Pelodiscus sinensis: one gene and its partner. The protein of the gene in region 1 interacts with the protein of each later gene in a pairwise test. Links are inferred from orthologs where the notes say so. Each region holds a gene or a part of one and is shown on either strand. Other genes may lie near its edges. The genes, in order: LYAR and PRKRA.

Evidence for each region.
Region 2: the proteins of LYAR (region 1) and PRKRA interact in binary tests that used the Homo sapiens proteins (3 or more experiments, as listed by UniProt). The two-hybrid records come from large-scale screens. The link is inferred for Pelodiscus sinensis from reciprocal best matches to the Homo sapiens genes LYAR and PRKRA.

What each region holds. Positions count from the first base shown.
Region 1 is NC_134715.1:110,472,243-110,484,648, forward strand, and holds the start of LYAR (cell growth-regulating nucleolar protein), read right to left. Parts: upstream 5,637-12,406; 5' UTR 5,495-5,636; intron 5,489-5,494; exon of another isoform or gene 5,349-5,488; intron 5,337-5,348; exon of another isoform or gene 5,242-5,336; intron 2,547-5,241; 5' UTR 2,479-2,546; coding exon 2,357-2,478; intron 298-2,356; coding exon 183-297; intron 1-182. Other genes in the region: ZBTB49 (zinc finger and BTB domain-containing protein 49), read left to right, coding at 7,176-7,265, 9,413-9,585, 11,340-12,406. UniProt on the Homo sapiens protein: Plays a role in the maintenance of the appropriate processing of 47S/45S pre-rRNA to 32S/30S pre-rRNAs and their subsequent processing to produce 18S and 28S rRNAs. Also acts at the level of transcription regulation.
Region 2 is NC_134717.1:46,430,685-46,442,329, forward strand, and holds the start of PRKRA (interferon-inducible double-stranded RNA-dependent protein kinase activator A), read right to left. Parts: upstream 4,659-11,645; 5' UTR 4,598-4,658; coding exon 4,344-4,597; exon of another isoform or gene 4,319-4,343; intron 4,260-4,318; exon of another isoform or gene 3,812-4,259; intron 3,387-3,811; coding exon of another isoform or gene 3,306-3,386; exon of another isoform or gene 2,940-3,305; intron 1,813-2,939; coding exon 1,643-1,812; intron 1-1,642. Other genes in the region: PJVK (pejvakin), read left to right, coding at 3,306-3,386, 8,752-8,926. UniProt on the Homo sapiens protein: Activates EIF2AK2/PKR in the absence of double-stranded RNA (dsRNA), leading to phosphorylation of EIF2S1/EFI2-alpha and inhibition of translation and induction of apoptosis.

The DNA of each region.
Region 1 (12,406 bases):
TAGAATGTCAGGCTTGTCTGCTCTTCTCTTCATTTCAGACTATTTTTCAGAACATGCATTGTTATTTAAAATAAAACACCTATACATTTGTTTCCAATATGAATGCTTGTTTTTAGTATGCAAGATTTTTCTGAAATAAAGTTATAAAAAAGAATATTAAATATATATATTTAAAGCATTACCTGAATCCACTCCTGTTGTTTAACATCTCCTTTGTTAGATTTGGCTTCATAACCCTTGCCACCATATTTCTGATCTTCGCTTAAACATTTCACATGGCTCTTATAATCATCACCCCTTAAATATTAATAAGCCACACTTAAATTCTGTAAACAGTGTTCCACTTCAATTAACAAAACCGTTAACAGATCACATTCAGTATCTCAAACGAGGCAACTTCACAAATTTAGCATCTAATTCTATGAAACAGGGATGTAAGCAGCTAATTGACTATTTGATAAGAAAAAGCTTATTGGATAGTCAACTAGCCCCTCGACTAGTCACTTCTCTCCCTCCTCCTCCCCCACTTGCTGACTCCATATGAGTCCATCAGAGGCAGCAAGAGGGGGAGCAAGAGCTGGTGTTGCGGGTACCAGCAACATTCACACATTCAGAGATGCTCAATGACTTATTTGTTTTGGTCTTCACCGAGAAGTCTGTAGGAATGCCCAACACAGTGAATGCTAGTGGGAAGGGAGTAGTTTTAGAAGGTAAAATAAAAAAAAAAAACAAGTTAAAAATCACCTAGAAAAGTTAGATGCCTGCAAGTCACCAGGGCCTGATGAAATGCATCCTAGAATACTCAAGGAGCTTGGTACAGGAGGTATCTGAGCCTCTAGCTATCATCTCTGGAAAATCATGGGAGACAGGAGAGATGCCAGAGGACTGGAAAAGGGCAAATATAGTGCCCATCTATAAAAAGGGAAATAAGAACAATCCAGGAAACTACAGACCAGTTAGTTTAACTTCTGTGCCAGGGAAGATAATGGAGCAAATAATTAAGGAAATCATCTGTAAACACTTGGAAAGTGGCAAGGTGATAGGGAACAGCCAGCATGGATTTGTAAAGAACAAATCATGTCAAACTAATCTGATAGCTTTCTTTAATAGGATAACGAGTCTTGTGGATAAGGGAGAAGTGGTGGATGTGGTATACTTAGACTTTAGTAAGGCGTTTGATACGGTCTCACAATATTCTTATCAATAAACTAGGTAAATACAACTTAGATGGGGCCACTATAAGGTGGGTGCATAACTGGCTGGATAACCGTACTCAGAGAGTAGTTATTAATGGTTCACAATCCTGCTGGAAAGGCATAACAAGTGGGGTTCCACAGGGGTCTGTTTTGGGACAGGCTCTGTTCAATATCTTCATCAACGATTGAGATATTGGTATAGAAAGTACGCTTATTAAGTTTGCAGATGATACCAAGCTGGGAGGGGTTGCGACTAATCTGGAGGATAGGGCCATAATTCAAAATGACCTGGACAAATTGGAGAAATTGTCTGAGGTAAATAGGATGAAGCTTAATAAAGACAAATGCAAAGTGCTCCACTTAGGAAGGAACAATCAGTTTCACACATACAGAATGGGAAGCGACTGTCTGGGAAGGAGTCTAGGGTCATAGTGGACCAGAAGCAGAAAGGAATCTAGGGGTCATAGTGGACCACAAGCTGAATATGAGTCAACAGTGTGATGCTGTTGCAAAGAAAGCAACATGATTCTGGGATGCATTAACAGGTGTGTTGTGAGCAAGACATGATAAGTCATTCTTCCGCTCTACTCTGCACTGGTTAGACTCAGTTGGAGTATTGTGTCCAGTTCTGGGCACCGCATTTCAAGAAAGATGTGGAGAAATTGGAGAGTCCAGAGAAGAGCAACAGGAACGATTAAAGGTCTAGAGAACAGGACCTATGAGGGAAGACTGAAGGAATTGGATTTGTTTAGTTTAGAAAAGAGAAGATTGAGGGGGGACATGATAGCAGTTTTCAGGTATGTAAAAGGGTATCCTAAGGAGCAGGGAAAAAATTGTTCATCTTGGCCTCTGGGGATAGAACAAGAAGCAATGGGCTTAAACTGCAGCAAGGGAGGTTTAGGTTGGACATTAGGAAAAAGTTCCTAACTGTCAGGGTAGTCAAACACTGGAATAAATTGCCCAGGGAGGTTGTAGAATCTCCTTATGTAGAGATATTAAAGAGGAGGTTAGATAAATGTCTATCAGGGATGGTCTAGACAGTATTTGGTCTTGCCATGAGGGCAGGGGACTGGACTCGATGACCTCTCGAGGTCTCTTCCAGTCCTAGTATTCTATGATTCTATGATCTGTTAAGCCCTAGCACACAATCATTGACATACCAGAAATCTTTGCCACAATCCATACAAGAGAGGCACTGGCAGTTCCTGCAAATGTTTACATGTTTTTCAACCTGTCCTTTCTTCACAGAGTCTCCACATGCACTGCAGGTAAAGACTACCATTTTGGTGAAGCGATCAAAATAATTTCTTCTCAAAAGTGGTTAAAACTGGTTCTTTTCCAAATCCAAACCTACAAAAAATGCAATTAAAGTTATAACTCTGAAAAAAGCGTGTGAATTATATTTAAAGTGTATGTAGCTCTAGCTACCAATATCAAATCTATCAGATTTCATGTGAACAAGATTCTCAAGTTAACTGTGCTTCTAAGTAACATTCATTTTTAATTGCAAACATTTTTCTCTGTGTATACAACTCAAACAATTATTCTGATTGTTTTTAAAATAGAAAACTGCATCAAACTTGGATCATCTCTGATTCTTGCTTTTCCTTCTCTCTTCACATAAAGGTGCTTGCCAAATCTTGCTGTTCTCTCTTTGTAATATTTCTGTAATATGTTCTTCCCCTTTGTCTCTGATGTCAAAATCCTGGTTCAGGCCCCGTAGTGTTCTTTGACACTTGGATTAATTTAAACTCCTCTGTTCTAAAGAGGGGAGAGTCAGTGATTCTATGCAACTTTCAAAGGGACAGTCATGTTAGTCTGTATCTGCAAAAACAAGGAGTCCTGGGGAACCTTAAACACTAATCTGTTATATAGCCACAGGACTCCTAGTTGTCTATACAACTTTTGTACTAGGGATGTAAAAATGTGTTTAAAAATGTTAACTTTGTGATCACTAAAAATCATAGCAGTTACACACGCTGCGGGCTCTGCAGTATAAAGCTTAAATAAGCTTTATACTGCAGAGGCCACAGCGAAGCCTCCTCAGGAGTAGGGCTGCTGCCAGTCCCACTCCCAGAAAACCAGTGTGTAAGCTGCAGCGAGGAATGGGCCAGGCCCCACCAGACAGGGGTTGCTCCAGCTCCTACGGGTTAACCGGAATCGGTAAACCATTTATATCCCTACTTTGTACTGATTAAAAGGCTACATCATCCCTTCCTGATGTTAACACAGACTGCCAGTCAGATTTTGTATGAAGATCAAACTCATCTCTCTAAAAATTTAAGTCTTTACCTATTTGACCATCCATTGCCCTCCACCTTGTTCTTCTTAGTTCTCTTTTTGTTTATTCTCCCAGTCTTCATTTCTCCCCTTTTAAAAAACCTCCTCCCATATTTGGCCCTCACTAAACACTATATCGGGGTGGGGAACCTTTTTGGGTTGGGGGCTGCTGACCCACAGAAAAAACAGTTGGGGGGAGGGAGAGGTGTTGCACACAAGTAAGAAAAAAAACACCTCACTGACCAGGCCCCTGACTGAGATGGACACTCCCTACATTCTCCTTGCACTCCAGAGCAGGGTGGAAGCACTAGGCTAGTAGATTTTGTGTGCTCCAGTCCCATGGTGGGGCAGCGGGGGGCTAGAGCACCAAAGCAGGCTCCCCAATGCTGGGGGAGAGCCCTGAGGTTCAGGGGCCAGATCCAGGCAGTAATGAGGGGTGGGTTTTTTTGTGTCCTTATCAGTGCCCCCTGATTTTTCTGAGCCAGTGGCCCCTGACAGGGAAAAATAAAGCTCTCTACCCCAACTTAGGGTATGCTACACCAGTGGTCTCCAACCTTTTTAACCACAGAATCAATTTTTCAATTTAAGTGCAATGCAAGATCTACCTCAAACCCGAATACCCTTGCCCTACTTCCTTCCCACCCCTTCTTTTAGGCCCTGCCCCTGCTCCACCCCTTCTCCGAGGCCTCACCCTGCTCACTCCATCCCCCTTCGTTCCCCATCCTCACTCACTTTCACCAGGATGGAGTAGGGGTGCAGGCTCTGATCTTGGGCCAATGACTTTGGAGTGTGGGAGGGGCTTAGCCCAGGGTGAGGGATTGGTGTCCAGGAGGGGTTTCAGTGTGCAAGCCCTGGGAAGGAGCTTGGGATCAGGGGGACTCATGTCTGGGGCAGGAGGTTGGGTGCAGGAGGGGGTTCAAGGCTACGACAGAGGTTCAGGAAGCAGGCTCTGGCTGGGCTTCCAGGTGGTGGAGCAGCAGAGTTAAGTCAGGCTTACTCCTGCTCTAGCGCTGCACCGCTCCTCAAAGCAGCTGGCATGTACAGCAATGGCTCCATGGCACCATGTGCTGCCTTCCTGTATAGGCTCTGAGCCCACAGCTTCTACTGACTATGGTTCCTCATTACTAATTGATGGGAGCTACAGGAGTGGTGTCTGCAGGCAAGGATAGCATAAGGAGACCCACTATTCTGCCTCTCAGGGGCTGCAAGGACATGCCAAACACTTCCAGGAACAGCAATTACACCATAGGGATAATTAGCCCAGCCACACCAGGTTAGACATGTTAGAACTCCCTCCTCAAAGAATTAAATTTAAGCATAAGAGAGAAATGAACATTATGAACTGCACAGACCAGTCAAAACCCAAAACTAACACACTTTGCAAGCAGTAAAAGCAGTAACACCCACCCTCCAGTATATGTTAGGTCAGGAGATGAGAGGACAGTTGGTGTTTGTGAGACTGACACAGACCCACACAGTGTGACAGTGTCAGAGATTTGCATTGCCACGCTCCTGCCAGCCCCTTCTCTCCGTGTGGAGATAAGGTACAGAAGTGGGGAGACGGGACACCCCGCCATCAGTGCCCCCCTGCTCCCTCCCACACCCTACACAGCAAGAAGGAGGCTTCCAGGGGGGCAGCTCCAAGGCAGGAGCAGGAGCAGCAGCAGGACAGGGGGTGGAGGGGCAGCTGAAGCGCCAGCACTTGACAGACTCCAGCCCAAACCGGTCAGGATCAGCTATAACGCCCTTCCCCTGCTGGGCGCACCAGCCTGGTGTTTCCCTCGGCCAGCCCGGGGCGGGTCGCTGGGGGTCGTGCAGGAATCTCCCGTCCAGCGTCCATCCCTGCAGCGCAAGCGCTCGCGGGCAGCCTACCGGTCAGAGCGCGCGCCCAGCCGTTAGCGTCCCGCCCCGACCGGCTCGTGCAGTCAGCGCGACACAAGCCCTGCCGCCGCTCCCCACCCTCGGAAGGCGCCCCGGGGCTCGAGGCGATCCCAGGCATGGCTGGCCCCTCCACTCACTTTAAACGCTGCGCCACCGCCTCCAACGGCCAATCCCGCCTGACCCCGGCACGTGCCTCCTCCACTCGGTCGCCGCGGAGCTTGGAAGGGGGGGGGGGGGTTTCGACTCCGCTGGGCCCCAACTGCGCCTGCGCTCCCGATGGGGTCACCCTAGCCCCGCCGCACGTGCGCCTCGGTGTCCCCGTCGCGCCGTCCCGCGTGCCTGCCACCGGGAGTCCCCTCCGCGCGGAAACGGAAGTGCTGCCACCGGAAGTGCCGGGCCGGAACGGGAGGGTGGTGGCCCCAACGGGGTAGATCGAGCCGATGATGGAGAGGAGAGGCGGCTGGAGCCGGTAGGAAGGTTGGGCGGGAGGAGGCCTTAGAGCGGCTCCCCAGTCCCGAGGGAGAGGGGCAGGTCCCTGCCCTCAAGTCCTGGGAGCCGCGCTCCGGTACCGGGGCCAGGCCCCGCCCGGCCACACTCTTCTTGGTCAGTGACTTGGTAGTTAGCACCTGGTGTCCGCCCCTACCCGTTGCGCAGCTGCCCCCGCTCCCCCCGCGTTGTACTTATAGCTGGTGGCGGTAACATTGGGGCCAAAACAACCCATCGTGCGCTCACAACATTGCACCAGCTCCTCTGTAATATCTGTGGCTTGGGATGAGCTGGGGATCAATATAGTAACCCTTCTCCTACTCTCCTTCATTACACCAGTCCCCCATGACTGTGGCTAAGGATGAACTGGGAATCAGTATAATTCTTCCCCTATTCTTTCCCCCATTATGCCTGTGCCTATGTAAAGTCTGTGGCAAGAATTATTATGACCCCATATCTTCCTTTCCCCCACTCCCCAATATTACAACAGCCCCCATATCTGTACTTAGCATCACACTTGAATGTATCCTGCATCCCCAACATTATACCAGTCCCCCATGACAGTCCCCAACGAGGGGGGATGTGAAGGTGTAGAGCTGACTTGAGAGTTAGTATAGCACATGTCTATCATGTGCAGATGTGCACTACCAATAGAAAGACATGCTACCTGCTGTGGGTGCTCTACTAATCAGGTGGGTAGCATTTAAATCTCTTCTGGGTGGCTGCCTAAGAACTCAGTTTACAGGAAATACTGGTTAGTGTAATCTCTATTTGTTCCCTCCCCTTGACCCTTTAATATTAGACCAGCATTCTCTACCCCCACACATTTATGTTAGGGCTGTAAATAGGGCTAATCTGGGGGTTAGCATAACTACTGCATATTTCCCTCTTACCCCACTCACTAACATTAGGCAAGTGCTGTCCTTCCCCCAATAATATACTTGTAGCTAGGCATAAGGTTGGGATTAGCATAAACCTTGTATAGCCTCCTCTCCCAATAACAATACATCAGACTTTCCCTCACTTTTACACAAGGATGAAAATATCTTAAATTTCTTACAAGTATTGTTGTATCACAACAGGAGTCCCTCGGGGGGCGGGGCAAGTGTCAGGGCAGGAGAGTGAGGGGGAGTTGTGATCAGACAGTACCTGTAAGAAATGTAAGTGTGGAATGGAGTGTAGGGGGGCTCACGGCAGGGGATTGGAGAGGTGGGTGTTGGGAGCTCAGAGCAGGGGGTTACTGGTTTGGGGTTGGGCAAGGAGTTAGGGCAAGAGGTTGGGAAGTGTGGGGGCTCAAGGTGGAAGGTGCAAGAGTTAAGGCAGGGGTCTGGAATGGGGAGGATCAAGGCTGGAGTACCCAGGAGCAGGAGCAGGGGCAGCCACCACCAGCATCCCCAGGGCTGGAGCTGGCATCAGCTGAAGGTAGGGAGGATGTGGGGGTGTAAGAATCATGGCAGGGAGTTGTGGAGTCAAGGCAGGGGTGTGGAGAGTGTGGGGATGTGGGAATCAGGGCAGGGGTTTGTGGGGTGGGGGTGGGGGCTCAGGACAGACTGCTCTGCCCAGCCACTGGAGTACTGGAGAGGCAAGGACTTGCTTGCCCAGCCACCCAAGCACTGTGATGCCTGGTCACCTGAGCACTGAGGTGGTTGGGACCATTCTATCCAGCCACTTGAGCACCAGGGCTGTAGTCTGGGTGTGATGTGGCCGTGCTGCCTCAGGGGTTGGTAGCATCTAGAGCAGTAGTCCCCAACGTGGTGCCCGCGGGCGCCGTGGCGCCCGCCGGGGCATTTGTGTGCGCCTGGCGACAACCTGGGCCGGCCCCGCCCCTGGCGCACTGGAGGCGCCAGCCCCAGGCGCGCGGCGCTCTGGCAGCCCGGGGCACATGTGGGCGCGCAGCGCCGGTGCCGGCCCCAGGCGCGCGGCTCGGGTGGCAGCGCCGGGCCTATGGCACAAGGCACTCGGGCGGCCCTGGCCCCGGCCCTGGGGCACATGCCGGCGCCGGGTGCAAGGGCATCCCCGCCCCTGGCGTGCCCCAGGACGCGCGGCCCCACCCCCAGGGCGCCTGGCGCGTGAGTGGCCCCACCCCCCAGGCGACTGGCGCGTGAGTGGCCCCGCCCCGAGGCGCCTGGTGCGTGAGTGGCCTCGGGCGCCCGGGAGCCTCTAAAGGTTGGGGACCACTGATCTAGAGCCCAGCCAGCCAGTCTCTGACCCATGAGCTGTACTGGGGCGCACAGGCTTACTTTCACCTTTGGGTTAATGTAAGGGTGGTGTCACTCTCACATTCCTTGCATGCTAATATTGGAGCAAACGATTCCCTGTGTTATATCTGAGGCTGTTTCCTTTCTTATTCTGATTTCATGAAGACTTCTTCTAACATTTAAAAGAACAACCTAGATTGCTGCTGATTTTATTCCTGATAAGACAGTGACTCTAGCATCTTTGGGTTCCCTTCCACCCCAAGGGAGAGAGGCACTTGCAATCACCATCCTTAAACACAGTCACCAATGTTGCAGATTGCTTCAGTAAACTATCAGATCCTGTGGAGTAGGGAGAGGTTTTAGGGACTATCATAATGTTAAGAGGTTTTCAGTGAACTCTGATAGGAATTTTAACAATCGGCGTAGTGAAATAATACTTCTGAATAGCAGATGAGTATAATTAGGATGCATTCAAAGGCAATGCATCAAAAATACTCCAGGATGGTGCCCTGTAGTAGTCCTGAAAAAATGATGGAAAACTAATTTAATAGTGGGATGCAAATATACAAATTTCTTTTGATGGGTGACCCAATTAAAATTTCACTGATACATCCAGTAGTGAAGAGAAGCCCCTAAAATATTGTATTCTTCCTCCTTTCTTAGTCTTGTAGGCAAAAATTAAAATAAAGCATAGGTTATGTACAGCTCTTCATTTGGGAACAAATGTTAGATATTTTCTATTCCAGATCACTTTTGTGAGCAGCTCAAAGAGACTTTAAATATAATGTACTTTCTTTTCTGTGAAAAATAGTAATGTCTAATACTGCTATATTTTATGTATATGACAACTATAAGTGAAATGTGTTTAGTGCTACAGCAATGAGCACGATATAAATATATTTGATAGTAACTGAGTTTGGTCATTGAAGGATTTTCTGTTCTGATTTTAGAGAATTAAGAAACTAAGTTTTTTCCTGTACCAGGTACTTGTTAAATTTGTGGATCTTATCTTTGGATCTTCTGTGTTCTGTTTGCTTAAGTCTAATACATGTTGAAGTGAATATGGAGTATGTATAGCTATAAAGTTTAATTTTTTTGCAGCATCTCCATTACCAGATATTTGTGCACAAATCATTGTAATAGGAAATATTCACTTTAATAAAACTTTCTGTGTGCATGGTTACAGACATTAATCATCAATAGTTTGTTCATTAATCTTTAAATTGCTGGAATATGATTAGACATCTGTTTCCCTTGCAAGATAGGGAAAATAGTAGCAATACATTAATTTTAATGTAATTTAAAATTTGTTCTGCAATTGCACTATTGTAATTTAAAACTTAATTCCCAGAGTATTTTTATATGTTGTAGGTAATCAAATGGTATTCTAGCATGGACACTGTTGCTAGCCATAGTTGTCATCTTCTCCAGCAGCTACATGAACAGCGCATTCAAGGCCTTCTCTGTGACTGCATGTTGGTAGTAAAAGGTGTCTGCTTCAAAGCTCATAAAAATGTGTTAGCTGCTTTCAGTCAGTATTTCAGGTATGTAGTAGGAAATATTGTTATTGCAGAAATAAACAGGATACTGTATAACTCATGTCTTAATCTCTGAGGAGAGAACTTTTTTGCTAGCTAGGAATGCTAATCACAGGTTAGAAGAAAAAAGTAAGGAGAACTTGGATCATTTGTCCAGAGATAATCTGTATCTCACATTTGGTCTAATTAGAAAATATGGTATGCTTAAGTTATTTTGTACTTGTACTTATTTAGCCAGTAAGCTCTTTGAGAGCCTCTTTTCATTGCATACATACAGGACCCTAGCATAGTGGGGCCCCAATTTCTGGTGGGAGGGTGTTGACAAAAATGCAGTACATAGTAATACGCACTCCTTCCAAAATGCAGTTTGGGTTTGCATTGCAATACGGTGAGCAGAGCCAGGTGAGAGATTTAGTGGGTCAGACAACCACATCATTGTCCTTTGCTCTTTGGTGTTTAAAAGGAAACAGAGCAGGAGGACAGTTTTCTTTTTTCAGTTTTTCTGAATATGTATCTGTATCAGATTCACATATTGAAATATCTTGATGTGCTAGTCAGTGCATCTGTAACATAAGTGTGTCAGCAGTTCCTGCAGTGAGCAGCATTTACTATTCACTTGTCTTGGGATGCTGGGTAAGACAATTTTTCTTGCCTGTCAGTGAATAATCTGGTATGATTTTTTTACCCTGTATCTTGCACCATCACTAAAGCATGTGCTACCAAGACTTCCTGAGGGGAAAGAAAGTTGATATTCAAATGTTTCTCCACCTGTCCAAGTGTCATAAACACTGTCAAAAATAAAAGGACTCATGCCCAAAGACTTTTGGCCACCAAGTTTGAGCTGAAGGGAGTTAGGATCCTTTAAACATTCCAGCCCAAAAATAATAAAAACAATTACAGAAGGCTTAGGTAGTACAGTAGTGCACATTTTATATGCAAACAATTATGTATATAAAGTGATTTTGTTCTATGGATATGGCCACAGCTTGAAAAATTTACCATCCATTTAAACCTACTTGTTAGAGGCAGAGCTCTAAGTAGGATGTACCCTAGTGAGGTACACTGGCAGAGCCCAAAGGAAGTGCTTATTTGCTGGAAGGGGGAAATACCTTGGTTTTCCGAACTATAGGGTCCCATCTTTATTTTAATTTTGATTAGCTAAATATAGTGCTTCCTTTCTTACTCCCCATTCTGTTTGCCAGAAGGAAAGGGGAAGCCCCCCCTTCTCTGTCAATTTACTTGTGCACAAACAATACACTAACACAAGATTAAAGTTGATATTTAGAACACATAAAATAGGAAATTATAAGTATACAGTGAGATTTTCAATAGCTGTTAATGTTAAAGTCAACAGTAGAACTCCCATTTCATAGAACCATAGGGTTTGAAGAGCCCTCAGAAGGTCAACAAGTCCAACCCTCTGCTAAAAACAGGACCAATCCCAACTAGCTTATCCCAGCCAGGACTTTGTCAAGCTAGGACTTTACTTCTAGTGATGAAGATTCCACATCCTCCCTAGGTAACCCATTGCAATGCTTCTCCACCCTTGTAGTGAATTACAGAATTAGGCTAATTATGAGCATTTTCAAAAGTCCTGTCAGTAAATACCAGAGCAACTGTCTTGCAGCCCCATATTACATATTGAGTTATTGATTCACTTTGGCGTAAGATATTATGTTTGACAGATATTTTATTTAAAAAGTTCAAACTAGTAGGGTATATGCTTGTATATTATAAAGAGTTATGCTTCATTTCATCAGGACCCTATTTCAGAATTCTCCAGGCCAGAAGAATGATGTTTTTCACTTGGACATTAAAAATGTAGGAGGTATAGGCCAAATCTTGGACTTCATGTACACCTCACACCTTGATCTTAGCCAGGATAACGTACAAGCTATGTTGGATATCGCACAATGTCTACAAGTGCAAAATGTGCTGAACATTTGCCATACTTTTTTAAAATCTTCTACAGCGGTAGAACAGCCTGCTAGCATGCCTTGCAATAGTGTGTTCTCCTTGCAAAGTACTTTGGCTACAGAGACTAACTGTGTAAATGAAAATTATGGTACTAACTTACTGCATGAATGCTCATCAGATGCACAACCGAGTAAAGTGTTGGATGACCATCATTCTCACGGATCACAAACTATTAATCTTCATACTTCCTCAGGTGATGTACAGAAACAGACACAAGACTCCTTAGATGGTAATTGCACAGAGCTCCCTTTTAAACAGCCAAATTACTATTATAAACTGCGTAATTTTTATAGCAAGCAGTTCTACAAGCAAAATGCATGTTCCAACCAAGAGAGAATAACAGAACAGTCCTTTGCATTCAATACATCTACTGAACTAAGTACGGTAGAGAACAATTCTTGTACTGTCAGTCAATCTGAATGTATTTTGGAATCGTCTGACCACTTACCATCAAACTTTCTGGTTCAGGCCTTGAATGAATCTACACCAGACCAAGATTTGGAAAACACGTCCTTGCAGCCAACCCAACAGATGCAACTGAAAAAGGCAATACACCTGAAAAAACTGAATTTTCTAAGATCACAGAAGTCTGCAGAACAGTTGTCTGAACCTAAGAGAGATGACAACAATATAACAAGGGTAATTGAATCTGTAAATGGAAGTGCCATGGAGATGACAAATATTAGTGCCATTGAAGAAAAAGAAACTGAAGATCTTGTTAGTTCAGAGAGTTTTGAACAAACTGTTGAAATGGAAATATCTCAAGGTCCTTCAGAGCAAGAAGAGCAATCACAGATTCTTCAGTCACAGAGGCAATATACTTGTGAATTATGTGGAAAGGCTTTTAAAC
Region 2 (11,645 bases), on another chromosome or scaffold:
ATTCTTATTAAATTGTTACATCATCTATGGATGTGAATGGTTAACAGGTAAGCATCACCTTTAATGGATGATGCTTACTGGTTACTGTTAAATGGTGGGGGCTGGAGTATTCTCCTGCCCATTCTAGCCTGGAGGGGCACGTGGCAGGCCTGGTGCACTCCAGCTCAGTCAGAGCAGCCCCGTGGTGGGCTGCACTAGGTGTGCCACGGGCAGGAACGCCTCCGCCTGCCCGTTTAATCGGTTAACCTTCATGTTTATCTAGTTAACTAACTAAATGGGATTTTACCCCTAATGGCATCCCTGTCTGAAATCTTTAAAGCAAGCACTCTGTGATGTTGCCCTATTCCTGACATGCTTCATCTATCCCTGTGTTGAGGTTTGAGATTGTGTCCTCAGAAGGCAGGCTTGGGTGGCTTTTTATAGTGCCTTTGCTAAGGGAATCTAGGGTGTATTTTGTAGGAGATGTGGGGATATAGGGACAGAATTCTAAATACAGGCAGTCCCCGGGTTACGTACAAGATAGGGACTGTAGGTTTGTTCTTAAGTTGAATTTGTATGTAAGTCGGAACTGGTACATATTGTAGGGGAAACTCTAGCCAAACATTTCTCCAGAGCTCAGTTTTATTCTCCCACACCTCACTTCCCTCAGTCCTTTATTCTCAAGCTGAGGTGTCTGCTGAGAAAAGCCGCTCCACGTCTCCCTGGTCTGCTGGGAGGGGTACTAGCTTTGCGTCTCCCTGGTCTCCTGGGGGGAAGCAGCTAGTGCGGGGTTGTCTCACCCCGTTTGTAAGTAGGGATCTGATGTAAGTCGGATCCATGTAACCTGGGGACTGCCTGTAACTAAATAGAAGACTCCTCCAGAATCTGGAATTTGAACCCCAAATTCATGAATCTCCTTATCCCTCTGTTAGCAAATAGGTTTGAAACCCACTGGTACACTGTTTCCCATCTCATTTTAATGATAGTCCACAGAGAATAACAGCATATTATTAGTTGCTGCATTACCTCAAGTACTGTGCTCTGAATCCTGCTAATGAACTGTGAAGATATTCTGTATCAAAGAACTATAATCCCTTAAGTTTTTAAAAAACAAATACACCTAGGCTATGACATCCCAAGATTGCATAGAAAGGGAGCAAATCAAAGATGCACAAGCAACTTTAATTATAGTATTTCCTTGACTTCTCTGTACTTGACTTCACAATCATAATGTTTTTGCATACTCATACGTCCCTATCATGAAGACAAAATATTGGTCTGTTTGGATTAAACTATACCTACAAATACTTAGTTTCTAGTGGTTAGGTTTTTCAGAATCCTCAAATTAGCAGGCAGCTCTTGGAGCTTTTCCCTTCAGTATGTGAACAGTCGTACGTAGCCTCAGTTTATAGTTCTTTACCTTTCTTACTGAATTTTCTGAAAATATTAAATCAGAATTAACAGCCTAAAACTGCACTGTTTAATATTTAGTCACATGTGAAACTCAAAGTTTAAAAGCTTGCCTTCCAGTATTTGTCAAACATATTAACCCATTAAATAAATGATTATTTTTGTATTTTCTAATGAAAAACACAGCGGAAGAAAGATTTTTTTCCTGAAACCACTACCAACAACCATACCAAAGTATAGCAACATTACAGACCTGTGCCCGTTATGTCACCTACTGTAACTTTAAAGGTGAAACTTGGAAGATGTACTTGTCCTTCAGCCTTTTCAAACTCGTACTCAGGAGTGATACCACACTTCGTGCCATATTCATGTAACAACTCAATTGGTGTTTTCCCTGGTTTTGCAACAATCATTTCCTCCAAGCTACAAAGAAAAGATTTATCATTTTAGAAGGGAAATCTGTATTTAGAGCTGATTTTTAAAAAATGGGAATCGCTGTTCCCTGTTTCACTACTGTTACCAACACTTTCAAGAAATTTTAATATTGGCTCCTATGGTACTTTTCATCCACAGATCTACAAGCATTTTACAAAAAAGGGGAAGGCATCATTACGTTGTGGTGGGGAGACAAAGATATAGGGATGCATAGTACTTATCCAAGAGCCCATGGTATAGCATGCTTAGAACACAATGCAGCACCCTTCTCACTAGGCCAATATTATCTCTCAAATTTCCATCTTTTTTTTAATCAGAGGGGTAGCCGTGTTAGTCTGAACCTGCAAAAGTGGCGAGGAGTCCTGTGGCACCTTATAGACTAACTGAAGTGTTGGAGCATAAGCTTTCGTGGGCAAAGACCCACTTCGTCAGATGCATGTAACCTCTGGAAATTTCCACTACATGCATCTGACGAAGTGGGTCTTTGCCCACAAAAGCTTATGCTCCAATACTTCAGTTAGTCTACAAGGTGCCACAGGACTCCTTGCCACTTTTGCATCTTTTTTTACCAGCTCTAGCTACTGTAAAAATAAACTTTCAATGGCTAGGCAGAAGTCTGAGCTTAACCTTGTTTCAAAATGCCCAATAAGAGGCTCTAGAGGTGGGTATGTTGCCCTTAAAACAGTAAGAAAGGAAGAGTATTATAGCTGCAGCAGAGAATGGGAAAAGATTGCAATGGTTGTCAAATTTTATGTATTTATTGGCAATCCTTTCACATAGCAAGCCTCAGTGTGACTCTTCCCCTCCCCCCAAAACACACACACTTAAAAATTAAGACTTTTTTATATTTTACACTATTTTAAAGTAATAGTTGCATGTTAATATCACTTTTCACAGCAGACATGTTAGCTAGCTGGGAGATATGTATTTGCAACCCCCCACATAACATACTTGCAACTCCATGAGGTTGCATGACTCTCCATTTGAGAACTTCCATAATTAGAGGAAAAACAGGTAGCTCAGGCAGTAACAACACAATTAATTTAGAAATACACTCGAAATAAGCTCTGCAATTTGCGTAGCAGAAATTGCATAACTTATTTCCAGCTAAAGGTGCTGTGTAGACGCGCCCTGAGTTAGTTTTGGCTGCTACTGAATTGCACTGATGTTGAATCACCTCCTCATGAAGAGAAGTCTTATCATCTGTGTTTCAAGACAACTTGTCATCCTCCACTTAAGTTATGAAAAAAAATCAAACTGATCTCACTAACTGATAAAAGAAAAATTATCTGATACTGAAAGCCTGTACTGGCAATTAAGGGGAATGGGGACAAAGAATATGTTTTTCAAGTCTGGTGGAAGCTGCATGCTGCTTTAGAGGCAACTTTTCCACAGGTTGATAGGAATGGGGGAAAGAATACATTTTCCAAATAACATTCCAAGCTATTGTTGCTTTCTTCTGATCACCATGACAACTGGGAATGGCTTCAGTTACAACATGGACAAGTGATACAGATACAGAAAGTATTCACTACTTCTCCACAGCAAAGAAACAATCATTGGTGAGAAATATCTGAAGGCAACAGTTCTATAATGTGTGCAAATTCAATCTCTCTCAAACTCAGCAGGTACAAAAGTAAACAGTGTCTGGATAGCTTCTCTCCAACACACACCTAGCTATTTCAGTGATAGAAATATAGCCGTGTTAGCTATTTCAGGAACTGGTGTTTTAGGTGGGGCTACTCACATGCTTAAAGTCAAAGGTGAGTTTGTAGGATCATGGCATACAAACATTATCTTTGTCTGGCTTGGAACATGTACTAGATTTCCTTTTCCCCTCCCTGTATTAATTAAACTAAGCAACTAACTATGTTGCTGTTGGAAGTATCATGACACAAGCTCCTGCGCTTTTGTCAAATTGTCCTATGGCTCCGTTTGCGAAGCTGGGCTGCGGGGCACCAAGTGCTTTGGAGGATCAGGCTCTTACTTGCCAGGGGGGTGATTGACTGTCACTGCACCGATCAGTCTGCCCCTGCTGCTTTGCCCTGAACAAGGTGCGTGGAAGCCCCGGGCCCTGTCTCAGCTCTCACGTTCCCCCTGGGCAGGGACGCTGAGCCCTGTTCACAACGGCTACAGGCGTCAGCTCCGCAGAGAGCGGGGAGGGATCCGCAAAGGGGCTCCGGGTTGCTGAGGGGCAGGGCCAGAGGCGCACCGGCGGCAGCTACACTGGCAGCCCCCGGGAGTCGGGGCTAAGACCCAGGCCGAGGCCCCGCGCCGGCCGCCGAGACTCTGGGAGACCAGGCCGGAGGGCGGGGCGCAGCCGGTGAGCCGCTCTCCCGGGCGGAGGGGAGCAGCGCTTTCCCCGCCCGCTGCGAGGTGACGGCCCGGGCCAGCCCCAGTGGTAACAGGGCGGGGGCTCGCTCCAGCCTCTCCCCCCCCACCAGCAGTTGGTGGCCGCGGCCGCCCGCGCACCGGGAGAAGGGCCCCTAATTACCCACAATGCCCCACTGCGCCCTGACCTGCGGGCCTGGTCCTGCGCCGCCGCCGGGCTCTGCTGGGTCGCGGCCGGGAACGGGAAGGTCTCCTGAGACATGGCCGGGCCGGCCGCCTCCACCTCCGCTACCGCCACCGCGCCCGCCGAGCGCCTCGCCGCGGCCTGTGCTGTGGGCGGGGCCGCGTCGGCGCGTGGTGCGGGGGGGGGCCTCCCCCGCCTGCCGCTGCGGCCCCCCCGCCCATTGCGCTGAGCGCTCCGTGAGGGGCCAGCTCCCCGCATTACGCAGCCTGTGGGCCCAGGCTGGCCGGGGAGTGATGCACAAGCCGCCCCCGCCAAGGGAGCCCCCATTTCTTGCAGCCATTGCAGCCCGCCCTGGGGGGAGCGGTCCGGGCAGGCGCGGGAGGGTTGTAATAAGACAGTACCTGTAAGACACTGAAGTGTGGGCTGGAGTGCGGGGAGGGGGATACCGGGGTGCAGGGAGTCAGCGCCAGGGCTTGAGAGGTGTGAGGGGCAGGGGCTCAGGGCAGGAGTGTGGAGGGGCTGTAGCAGGGCTGGCCTTACCATGAGGCGAACTGTGGTGGCTGCGGCAGGTGCCGGGGGGGGGGGCACCACTAGGACCCAGAGTGTAGAAAATTGTGTCTGCTGCTGGCCCAAGGGAGGGGACCTGGGGGTAGGGTTACCAGATGGTCTCCTAAAAAATACCGAACAGCACCAGCTAAAAATTGGGTGTCCCAGTGGAAAGAAGCAGAAATTCCACCCCAGTCAGTTTTGGCTGAGCACCCACGAAAGGCACCTAAACTCAACTACAAAGCACCTGTGGGCTTCTCTCCTGGACTACAGCGCTACAACGTGCTTGAACAGCGCTCAGGAGCAGGGACAGAGCTTCTCCTCAAGACATCACTCCTCCTCAGAGGCATTCAGCTGAGGGCTCCCAGGGCCAATTGCACCCCCGCCTCCCAGCCACTCTCCCCACCCCCCGCCTGGTTTCTGCACGCAAACAAAGGCTCCCAGCACCAATCAGAGCCCCGCTTCCCAGCCTGGGACTCCCTCTGGTTGAGTGTAGAAGCTAGGCCGCGGGAGTGTGTGGGAGTCTCAGCTACCCCCGTCCCCACCAGGTTTTTGCACGCTACCACAGGCTTCCAGCCCCAATCGCAGCTCTGCCTCCCAGCCACTCCTCTGCCCCTGCCAGGCTTCCGTCCAGCACCCGGCCAGAAAAACAAAATATCGGGCATTGCACATGTCTAGTATTTTCTGAATTTTTTTTACCAGACAGAGGACACAAAAACCAGATTGGTAGAATAGCGGACACCTGGCAACCCTACATGGGGGTGTCTTTTGAGCTACCCGCTTCATGTGCCAAAATGTTGTGGGCCAGCCCTGGAGTGCAGGAGTCCGGGAAGAGGACATGAGGAGAGAGCTCGGGCCTGGGAGTGTAGCCACTGTGCACCTAAGGAAACAAAAGCATCAGCTATTGTATACAATAGGCCAGGGTCTGTGACCTGATCTAAGACTGAAAGCATGTGGTAAGAAAACTTTTCCTTTGAATCAAATGTAGTTATGTTAGCACTTTACCTTTATTTTTCTTGTAACCATTTTTTTTTATTTCTATGGCTCATTACTTGTATTCACTTGAAAGCTCTCTCTTTTTAGTCAATAAAGGTTTTGTATCAAATCCAGTGTGTTCAAGCTGAAGTGTCCAGGTAACTCAGTTGTGTGCATATTAGTCCCTTAAAGCAGGGGTCTCCAAACTACGGCCCGCGGGCCGGATGCGGCCCGCGAGGCCCTCTCATCCGGCCCGTGGAGACCGTCCCTGGGGCGCCGCCGAACGGGCCCTTCTTGCCGCGGTGGGGGGGGGCCCTGTCAGGGGTGTGCGGCGTGTACTCACGCCGCGCCGGGGCAGGAGAAGCGGGCCGCTCCAATGACAAGCGGCCGCGCGGCGGCAAACGGCGCAGGGGCGGGGGTTAGCACGGGCAGCATTCCCCCGCCCAGACTGACAGGGCAGCCGGCCAATCAGGGGGCAGGATGGGCGGTGGTGGTAACGCCCGCCCGGCGACGTGCGGGGGAACGTGAACCCCCGCGGGAACTTTAAAAAGGTGACCCCTGATTTAAATCGATATTAAATTCTTTCAGATCTCTCCTAAAACACCAGATCTAGTGCCTAAAATCAGCTTCTAGGTGAGGAAAAATGTTAATTTTTAATGCTTCATTTGTCCCTTGCTCCTTTTAAGTATTTTTCTCACTCTCTGGATTTCTTCTCGCTGGCCTGAAGGGTGAGTTTTCCCCAGTGCATTAATGCAGTGCCCCATAGCATGTGCCTGGCATGCTGCTAATTTGTTTTTGGAACAAGTACAGGCCAACAACTTGACGCACTTTCAGCAGTGCAAGGTCTTCATGGCTGAAGCAACAGCTGAGTTCCCCACGTCTGAAATATGTGAAGAACAATTTGAGAACAAACTTGTCCGATGATAATCTCAGGTCACTGTTGATGTTAGGGACAACAAATCTAAAGCCAGAAATGTGTGCTATTTTGGCATCCAGGAAACAATTTCACCATTCACACTAATACAGGTGTTCATGTGTAGTGTATCAATGTGTTATTAAATAATAACTGAATAAAATAATATTAAATAAATAATTAAAAACAACATCCATGTTTTGATTGTTTTTTATTTGGACCTCAAGTGTGTAGTCGGCCCCCGAACTGCTGTTTGATAGTTAATGCGGCCCTCGGGCTGAAAAGTTTGGAGACCCCTGCCTTAAAGGAATAATGACTCAGTATATTTGTACTGCTCAAGAGAGGGCTGTGCAGTACAGTACATACATTTCTGGAGGAAAATCTAGGACTGAGACTGTATGTGCTGTCACCCTGCAGCAGTGCTTGGTGACCTAGACAAGTGAATGGGTTGCAAGATTGTTGTAACCATGATGGTTTCCTGGAGTAGGGTAGTTTTGCTAACTGCTCTTCTGTACCTAGAATTTGTGGGTGTGCAGTTTGAACCATAATAGCACTTTGGATGCAGAGGGAACATATGGCTGTCACAGTCAATGTGTATGCATTCAGCACACACCTCACTTCATGTGCTTTTGCTTTACATACATGTCACTTTAATATTGTTAGGAAAAAGCTTACATGAACGGAAACTAGTGGAATCTGGTAACTCCACACTTAGGCAGTGGTAAACAAAATGTATTGTGGACCACACATAGAACTAGGTTGCCCATCATGCTCCACAGCAAAACTAAATCAGTAAGAGCCAAAGCTTGACTGTCTATCTGCAGCACTCATTCAGACATAGCTGGGAGTGATTTACATACTGGTGGTGACCAGTCCAGTTTGGAGTCTACATTGTAAAGGGCATCCCAGGTTATAGGAAAGGGATGACATAGCCAATCATTAGTCGGGATTGTACCTTGATATGTCACTCCTACCAAATGCTGACAAGATCAATCAACCTTCCTTCTCCTCTCCACAGACACACACCACCATCCATGAAGTAACATACTGCTATGTTCCTCTCCCCCTTTCCCATCAAACTCACAGAACAAAATTCACACCTGATCATGTAGGCAATAAAACCCAATAATGTCCTTTCTGATGCAGAAAACATAAATTTCAAGCCCTCATGACCCTAATACACCAACCTGCCAGAAAAGAGTAAACATCAGCAAAGTAAACCCTTTCAGAAGTGAAACCACAAAACACAGCAAAATCCCTACTTCCCTCACCCTATGGAGACACTAGCATACAGTAAATTTGGACAAAGTCCTATTTACTCATCAGCTAAAAAAGTTTAGAAAGGCGCTCACAATCTGAAATGTATTTATTCCAGGCTGAGGTCTTTAACAGAGCTATTATGCAGCCACTACTGAAAGAAGTCTCCTTCCCTTAAAAAAGTGTTAAGTCTTTACACAATTATGTAGCTTAGGTGGCCTGTTCAGGTGAATTCCCATTGGTAATGCACTTTGGGATCCAGCTGGATAAAAGGCACATTAAACAGCAAATATATCACTGTCTTTGCAATCACAACAAAAAAGATTGCAAAATGTAGCAGTCTTTTGATTCTAAAGCAATCATCTTACTTTCAGATAATGGCCTTATACTACTAAAGATCAAGCAAACATCTTTGTATCAGTTTACACAGTTAATGTATTATTCATTGTGCAGGATTAGTTGACATAAGGGAAGCTGTAAAAGCAATATACTGTAGAAGCTGGGTGGTGATGACCTACTGATTCTCTTCTCCAAACAAAATGTACTAGGTTTTAAACAAAGCAGCTAGACTTTAATTTTTGTTATGTGATAGTTCAGTTACAAAAATATTGTAAAATATTTTAACATGGGTATGAAGTTTTGAAGATGCAGTTGGTACAGGAGTTTTTATGATTAATATCATAATATGTTTGCTGCTGCTACCAAAAACTTTGTTAAGCAGGTTGGTGATGGTGGGAGATTAGTCCCCGTTCCTAGCCTCAGTGAAGCTGACAAATACCAACCTCTGAGTCTTGTTATAAAGAAGAAAAAGTGTTTTCTTTCAAGAAAATCTAAATTTGCTTCAACACCTTTCACTTTAAAAGACATTCTTCAGGGAGAGAAAGAAATTTCAGCAGGTACGTTTTTTGGTTTTTTTAAGCCTGAATAATTAAGTTTTTGCAATAAGTATAGACCTCATGTTATATATTTAATTATAATATGTAGTATGGTGGTGCATTAGTATAGTTAAAATATAATTATCTTAATGACTCAAGCAATTAATGAGAAATGGAAAATAAATTTAAACATAGTCAAACTTCTATTTAAAAATTGCGCAAATATGCTTATGAAATGCTGGCTGAGGGGAAGAGAGAAAGCCCCTGCCAGCTGGGTCAGCTGGGGGGAGAGAAGGTCTCTGCTGGTTGGGAGGGCTGGGGGGAGAGAGCAGTCCCCTGCCAGGACGGATCCTGGGGAGAGAGATGGCCCCTGCTGGCTGGAGGGGCTATGGAGAAAGTGAAGGCTCTTTCTGGCTGGGGGAGAAGAGATGACCCCTGTTGGTTGGGGTGTCTGGAGGGAGAGAAAAGGCCCTAGCAGATGAGACCTCCCACCTCGACCCCCTGTGCACTCCACAACTTTCACATACCCTCACATCTCCAGCCCCCTTCCTCAACCTACCACCTAACTCATGCACCCCCTATGTTATGCTTAAACAAAGCACGCGAGATCTTTTATAGGGGAAAAGGCAGTACGCCACATTTATTGAGAATACAACAGTTGCATATGCTTTTCAGTCACTCTCACACACAAACACCATACACTCAGGCTGTGTCTACACTGCACTCCTTTTCCAGAAAAGGGATGCAGATTAGACACTTTGGAATAGCAAAATCCGCGGGGGATTTAAATATCCCCCACGGTATTTGCATTAACATGGCTGCCGCTTTTTTCCGGCTTGGGGATAAGCCGGAGAAAAGCGCCAGTCTAGACGTGATTCTCCGGAAAATAAACCCTTTTCCGGAGGATCTTTTATTCCTACTTTCAAGTACTTTTATTCCTACTTCCCCTCAGCTTGAAAGTAGGAATAAAAGATCCTCCGGAAAAGGGGTGCAGTGTAGACACAGCCACACAGTCCTGCCAGATGATGTTATAGTTACCAGTCCAGAGTCTGGACCAATCTAGTGGCCAGTCAGATTGATCACAGAGAGAGAGCAGGGTCTTTTGTCAGTCATGATCCAATGTTCTTCTGGAGTTGGTGGCAAGATGAACCCAAAGTTCTATAGCAAAGCACCCTGCTTTTATAATCCTTTTTCTCTGTTGAAGTCTATGGACTTCGCTATGTCAGTCTGTGACCAGTTACTGTTATCTTGTTGATGTTAATCACTCCCAAAACATCTCCAAGAGGCTCACCCTGTCCTGGATTGTTAATCAATTGTTTTTAGGGATGCCTTCACCTTTAGAGTCGTCAGTCTGCCAATCTGATCAATTCTTGGCCATGGGTATGCAATGATGGTTTCTCTGACACCGATATGTCTCTTCACAGTCTGTCTTTTACAGTTAGTCTTCACCCCGCATTCTCCCCCTTCTCTCTTGCCCATCTGGCTTTAACGATGACCTTCACACCATATCTCATTCATACAAACAGTCTTTCACAGAGATACAAACAGCAAAGTTTTATATTGAACAAAAGCAGACAGCATTGTAAATTGCCTTACTAAATTTTGTAATTAAAACAATTCACACTGAAGGCTCCGGCCTTCAACCCTCCTCTAACCCTCACTGACATAGACACAATATGAGATCCTGTCTCTTTACTTACTAAACTTTATATATATATGATAATATGTTACCTTACATTGCTACGTTATTAATCCTAAAATACAAATATAAAAAGAATAAAACTTTCAATTTCAACACCCATTCCTCCTGCCCTGCTCCCCCCACATCCCAAGGCCTTGTCCTGACTCCTGCACTCCCCACACCACCAGCCCCCCGCTCTTGAAGGACCCGGGCAATGCCAGGTAAGTCTTCTACTAATATATATGTTCTCAAGGTGCATCTCCATGAAATGTCACTGTTGAATGGAAATAGTGGCTTCAAGCCTGCAGTTGATTCATGTGACTGACCCCTTGTGCCAAGTGTCAAGTGTCTGCCCATTCAGATCTGACTGAAGAATTGGGCCACAGTGATACTTTATTTTTATAAATTGTGTCATGTATTTCAGCAGCATAACTGCCTCTAGCTATGTATAATTCCAATAAACATTGAAGGAGACTCTGTCATATGTAGGAGGTTCAAAATTTAAACTATTGGTCCAGATCCACAAAAACATTGTAATGCTGAATGTCACAAAACTTATAGGTGTCTAGAAAATCATGGGGATCCACCATAGCCTGAGTTAGATGCTCCTATACAATGAATATTACGAGATAGGCATTTAAGAATGCGATCCACTAGGTCAGGGGCCTGCATCCTTTTCAAACCTAAGAACCAAATTACATCAAAATTCAGAGCAAGTGGTCAACAAAGAGCCATATAAGAATGTTCATTTGCATGACTGAAAATATACAAGTTGATATTATTGATAATTGATATAATGATTAATAATAGCATAAATGAAACATGGTACTCACAGATTTTATTTAATGGGACTTCTGCTCCTGCATCTTTTCGCACATTTCTTTGAAGTTTACATCATAACTGGTCAAATCCAGCTTAATGCATGCATTCAGGCTGTCTTCTGTCAGTCTTATGGCCGGGGGCTGCAGGAGTCTGGGTTGGGGTGCTTGAGGGGTTCATGGAAGGGGGTTTGAGTGTATGATAGGCTCAGGATTGGGGTGTGTGGGGATACAGGAGTCT